2 linked regions of the Callithrix jacchus genome follow. The protein of the gene in region 1 interacts with the protein of each later gene in a pairwise test. Links are inferred from orthologs where the notes say so. Each region holds a gene or a part of one and is shown on either strand. Other genes may lie near its edges.

Evidence for each region. The genes of interacting proteins can lie anywhere in the genome.
Region 2: the proteins of RGS20 (region 1) and FASLG interact in binary tests that used the Homo sapiens proteins (3 or more experiments, as listed by UniProt). The two-hybrid records come from large-scale screens. The link is inferred for Callithrix jacchus from reciprocal best matches to the Homo sapiens genes RGS20 and FASLG.

What each region holds. Positions count from the first base shown.
Region 1 is NC_133517.1:710,274-713,470, reverse strand, and holds the end of RGS20 (regulator of G-protein signaling 20), read left to right. Parts: intron 1-1,542; coding exon 1,543-1,731; 3' UTR 1,732-2,558; downstream 2,559-3,197. UniProt on the Homo sapiens protein: Inhibits signal transduction by increasing the GTPase activity of G protein alpha subunits thereby driving them into their inactive GDP-bound form.
Region 2 is NC_133519.1:30,102,919-30,106,011, reverse strand, and holds the end of FASLG (tumor necrosis factor ligand superfamily member 6), read left to right. Parts: intron 1-25; coding exon 26-82; intron 83-1,315; coding exon 1,316-1,710; 3' UTR 1,711-2,452; downstream 2,453-3,093. UniProt on the Homo sapiens protein: Cytokine that binds to TNFRSF6/FAS, a receptor that transduces the apoptotic signal into cells. Involved in cytotoxic T-cell-mediated apoptosis, natural killer cell-mediated apoptosis and in T-cell development.

The sequences.
Region 1 (3,197 bases):
TGGGTTTTTTTTTTTTTTTTTTTGAGACAGAGTATCACTCTGTCACTAGGCTGGAGTGCCGTGGCACGATCTCGGCTCACTGCAACCTCTGCCTTTTTGGGTCCAAATGATTCTCCTGTCTCAGCCTCCCGCATAGCTGGGATTACAGGCACGCACCACTGTGCCCAGCTAATTTTTGTATTTTTAGTAGAGACGGGGTTTCATCATATTGGCCAGGATGGTCTCAATCTCTTGACCTCGTGATCTGCCTGCCTTGGCCTCCCAAAGTGCTGGGATTACAGGTGTAAGCCACCTGTATATAAGCTGAAAAAGCTCGGCCTATTTTCAGTTTTTTTATGAAAGCACTGCGTGGCATTGGAACTATCATGGCCAGCCTGTGCAGGGATGGCCCAGCTGAGGTTCTTTCCGCAGAAGAGACCTGTGAGTTCATGTTTGCACCTTTGGCCTAGACTCATTTGTCTAGTGTCCTACAGGAACAGTTTGAGCCCAGTCGTTTGCTCTGGTTTATGGGACGGTCTTGTCTAGGAAGAGCCAAACATCAGAGCGATAATAGGCGACATCTCCTATGGGGTTAGTGAAATCCAAGCACTTTGTCATTAGATCACCAAAAACATTGACACTATCATCATCATCTTCATCATCATCCCCACCTCAGGGGAGGAGTTCACTAGGACACAGAGTTTACCTTGCCCAAGGCCCTGTAACTATGCAGTCACAGGGCTGGAATTTAAACTCTGGGATCATCTGCCCTCAGGCCCTGTGACTGGAACCTCCCAGGATTTTGAGTCAGTGTCCACTTCACGTGCCCAACCCTCCGGGCAGGCCAGCACTCATCCTGAGACCTGCCACTGTGGACCAGCAGGGGAAGTCTGGGCCTTCAGGCGTCAGCCCCCATGTTACAAGGAAATGAGCAAGGGGCAGTCTGTGCTGCCTGTTTTCTACAAAGCAGCAGTGTGAGCCCCACCAGCATCAGTGAGAACTTGTGGGAAATAAGCAATCAGGGAGACCTCTATACCGCCTAAATCTGGGGTGGGACCCAGCTACTATCTCACAAGCCCTCGAACCTACTGATGCCACTGGCCTTTGAGAACCACGTTGATGATGCTTTTGGTTTCTCTTTCGGGGGTTTGGATTTTTGGGACGATCTCCTTTGGTTTGGGATATTTAAAAAACAACAAGGCCGGGTGCAGCAGCTCACGCCTGTAATCCTAGCACTTAGGGAGGCCGAGGTGGGCAGATCACCTGAGGTCAGGAGTTCAAGACAAGCCTAGCCAACATGGCGAAACCCTGTCTCTACTAAAAATACAAAAACTAGCCAAGCATGGTGGCGGTCCCTGTAATCCCAGCTACTCAGGAGGCTGAGGTAGGAGAATTCCTTGAACCCAGAAGGTGGAGGTTGCAGTGAGCCAAGATAGCACCACTGTACTCCAGCCTGGGCGAGGGTGAGGCTGTCTCAAGAAAACAAGAACACAAGCTCTGGGAGTTTGGGATGGAGCTACAACCGAAGTCTCTAATACACATCCTACTCCTTTCTGTCGGCAGGTGAGCTTAGACTCCCGGGTGAGAGAAGTCATCAACAGAAACATGGTGGAGCCGTCCCAACACATATTCGACGATGCTCAACTTCAGATTTACACCCTGATGCACAGAGACTCGTATCCTCGATTCATGAACTCTACCGTCTATAAGGACTTGCTTCAGTCCTTATCGGAGAAATCCATTGAAGCATAGGATTTTTCAAATATATTTATTATTAATAAAATAATAAAAGAACTCATGGGCTACATCTAGCACAGTGAATTTAGAGGCTGTAGCATCTTCTGCTGGAGTAATACTCAGGCTATTTTAATAACAGATGATTCCCTCAACAGACTGCTATATATTCACAATGTAAATTGCAGCCACCTTTACTGATACTTTTGGGAAAAGAGAAAGGGACAGGGCTGTTGTAGAAAGCGTATTTGCATTTGCAGTAACTCTAGCATGTGGTCAGTGGTGAAGGCTACACAGAAGGCTCCCTGCTGCCCAGGGCAGGTGCATCCACCAGAGCAAAGGGAGCCACTTCTGTTTTGCATGACTTTGGTAACTGGTTACTGTTCCCCCAAGAGAAGACATTCAGGTGTTTCTCAATCACCTCTTCCGTCCATTAAGCTTGGTTTGAACACTTCACTTATCAGTGCCATTACAGGGCCCAAATTCACAGTTCATAAAGATGTGACCACTACATGTAAAAATGGCATTCCGCGTGATCTTAGAGTATGTCTGTATGGAGATACATATGTGTGCGTGTGTGGGTCTCTGTGGTTAATGTAGAGCACTGATCTGAGGTGGGTCAGTCTCAAGTGTCTGGTAACAGAAGCAGTGCTTAGAAAATTCTTTTGTAGAAAAGAATTACTATTATTTTATTATCAGAATTTGCCAACCTAAAGAATGAATTTTTAAAATCACAATTTGGTCATCTTCACAAAACTGTCAAATAAGCATATTTCCATTTTTATTGAAAGAAATATGGGCATTTTCATTCTTTAAAGAAATAAAGCACAATAATTTTATCTCAATCTTTATTTTTCCATATGTACTATTTGGGAAACATAAGATTAAGAAAGTAGGGATACGTGCAGCATATCTTTTAGCTCCCAGACTAGGATTCTGTGCTTAGATCCCACTATTTTTATCAGAGGCAAAAAGAACTTCATAGCTTACAGGTAAAAATACTGGTTGGTAGACCTAGCCCATCCTGAAGAAACCCATCTCTACAATGAATGGGAAACATTCAAAATCTGGGACACTCTGACTAGTGGGAGAGATGCTATGTTGCAGGAGGTGGTGCTGCACTCCCGCCCTCACAGGGGATGGCTCTCCTCTGGGTCCAACCCTGCCTGGCCCCTCTATAGCCTGCCTGTATCTTCATGACTCAATTCAAGCCCCAAAGCCAAGCCCCTCTCCTTCATTCTCATAAAACCATTTTACCTCCTACTCTACTATGCAAATTGTGTCCCTAAGCCTCCTCAACTTCCCATACAACCTATAAACATGTATAGATCAGTGTCTCTTCTCATCTCCCTCAGTCCAGTCCCAGAGAACAATGTGTTTTTTCCACGTTTTTGAGGTGTCAATCCCTTACCTGTGCTTCAATTCCAAGTCTTCCAATCTCATTTCTTACTAAAGAAAACAGATATAATTGTGAATGAGACATA
Region 2 (3,093 bases), on another chromosome or scaffold:
TAACATGTATTCCTCTATCACACAGGCCACCCTAGTCCACCCCCTGAAAGAAAGGAGCTGAGGAAAGTGGCCCATTTAACAGGTCTGTATCTGGAAGGTACAGGTGGGATTTGGGAAAGCTTTTGGCAACAGGCAGAATAGCTGCTTGGTTTCATTACTGGGCCCTAGAGAGTTGTTACTTCCTGGTGACAGTATTTGAACCCAACAATACTAACATCTTTCTTGTCAAGTCAGTCTTGCAAACATACTTTGAGCCCCTATTCTCTGGGCAAGGGCCTCTTCTAAATTGGAGACCTAGAGCTAATTATGACATGACCCCTGTACATGACCTCACTCTTTTCAGTCATTCCCAAGTCCCTTGGGGATTGGGGGCACAGATCCAAAAGGTGAGAGCTGAGAAGGTGAGGAATGAGGACTTATTTTCATCAGTGCTTTCTTGGTTTTCTGGAAGAGCTTTACTCTGTTTTGTCCAAGAGTATAAATAGGAGTGAGAAGGGAAACTCAGTCCTGGCACTTGTCAACTTTCAGCCTGTGCCTGCAAAGTGGTGTGAAATGATATGGTATGGGCACTCCCATTGTAAACTTCATAAATAACTGAGAAGTGGATAAATATCACAGAAAGTGGTAGGCTATTGTCCCTGGTATTATTTAGGCAGAAACTGTAGAATGATCCAGTCAGATCAGCAGACACTTATTGAGTACCTGCTGTGTGCCAATTTTGGGATGTGAAGATGAGTAGCACATGGCTCTTGCCCCCAGGGAGCTTGACATCTAATAGGGAAAGACAGGCACTTATGATGATTTTAGTACTGCAGAGATTTGGGTTATGTTCTTGATGCTGTGGGGATACAAAGAAAAGGAAACTGTAGCCCAAATTGAGGAGCTGAAAAATTCTTAACTGCAGGTGAGAAGATGGACCAGATGGTTCCTAAGATCCTTCCCAACTTTAAGACATTAGAGTTCCTTGGATTTGGCTTTTTCCTTCAGGAAAGGACCTCAATGCCTAGCAGTTTTGGTGTTAGTTCTGAAAATAATAAAATCTTTGTTCCAGAGAGCTAATATTTTCTAATAATTTTTTACTGCAATTGATTGGGATATATACTATTGTTCTAATTGTGTGGATGACAAAACAGGACAACAATGTTTAAGAAATTCTGTGATGGATCAAGTTCTGGCCCCTCAGCCGGTTCTATATAGGCTGTGTCATTCCGGGTAAAACATTTGTTCAAGGAAGGACCCGCGGTTTTCCCATAGAAACTTAGTTTGTTGGATGCATGACATTCCTGGCTGAAAGCTCCTTTTGAATTTATTTCAGGCAAGCCCAACTCAAGGTCCATGCCTCTGGAATGGGAAGACACCTATGGAATTGTCCTGCTTTCTGGAGTGAAGTATAAGAAGGGTGGCCTTGTGATCAATGAAACTGGGCTGTATTTTGTATATTCCAAAGTATACTTTCGGGGTCAGTCTTGCAACAACCTGCCCCTGAGTCACAAGGTCTACATGAGGAACTCTAAGTATCCCCAGGATCTGGTGATGATGGAGGGGAAGATGATGAGCTACTGCACTGCTGGGCAGATGTGGGCCCGCAGCAGCTACCTGGGTGCAGTGTTCAATCTTACCAGTGCTGATCATTTATATGTCAATGTATCTGAGCTCTCTCTGGTCAATTTTGAGGAATCTCAGACATTTTTTGGCTTATATAAGCTCTAAGAAAAGCACTTTGGGATTCTTTCCATTATGATTCTTTGTTACACACACTGAGACTGTTGTATTCAATGACGGTCTTCTTAGGCACATTTGAGGTCAAGTAAGAAGACATGAACTAAGTGGACCTTGAGACCACAAGGTTCAAAAGGTCTGTAGCTCCTCACTCACCTAACGTTTATGAGCCAGACAAATGGAGTAATAAGACTGAAGAACATCTGGGCTGCCATGTGAAGAGGCAGAAGCATGGAAAAGCAGCTGCCAGATGTTCTACATTCATCTTCAGTGCCTGAAAGTATTTGGGCACATTGAAAAGGACGCCTTTTAACTCACTTCTCAGGGTGGGCCTTGCTACCTCAAGGGTGACTGTCTTTCTGATACATGGTTGTGACATGAGTGTTTAAGGGATGGGAAAGGAGGACTAGAGGCTTGCATAATAAGCTAAAGAGGCTGAAAGAGGCCAACACTCCACTAGCAGCATCTTCACTTCTAAACACATAGCCTGAGCCATCGCTGATAGTAACAGAGAAGCAAGAGAGATATTTTGAGGACTCATTCCATTCCTAACACAGCATGTGTATTTCCAGTGCAATTGTAGGGGGTGTGTGTGTGTGTGTGTGTGTGTGTGTGTGTGTGTAACTAAAGAGAGAATGTAGAGATTGTGAAATACATATTAGGAAAATATGGGTTGCGTTTGGTGATAGAGTTTGAATGCTTCTTGACAATAAACTCTAATAGTTCTTAAAAATCATTGATTTTCAGCTACTGATGAAGTTTTCCTAGAATATAATAAATATTTATATAGATGTACATTTTTGGGAAAAGAAAATGTAATATAAAGCATATGTTAGGATACAGATAATTTTTAGCAAATATTTTACAAATATTTGAATTTTTGCATATTATTTCTTTTTTCCATGGTTTCTTTATTCATTACGATGCCAGACCACTTTAACAAAAATTTATAGGCTGGGCGCGGTGGCTCACGCCTGTAATCCCAGCACTTTGGGAGGCCGAGGCGGGTGGATCACGAGGTCAAGAGATTGAGACCGTCCCGGTCAACATGGTGAAATCCCGTCTCTACTAAAAATACAAAAAATTAGCTGGGCATGGTGGCGTGTGCCTGTAATCCCAGCTACTCAGGAGGCTGAGGCAGGAGAATTGCCAGAACCCAGCAGGTGGAGATTGCGGTGAGCCGAGATTGTGCCATTGCACTCCAGCCTGGGTAACAAGGGCGAAACTCCATCTCAAAAAAAAAAAAAAGAAAAACAAAAATTTATTGGGGTGAGAAGAACTATGAGGCAATCTTTTCACCTTTGCCAGGTCTTCCTTCTCTCTATATATTTTTTTCCCTCTTCACCTCCCAGAGGTTTCATTACCAATATTATG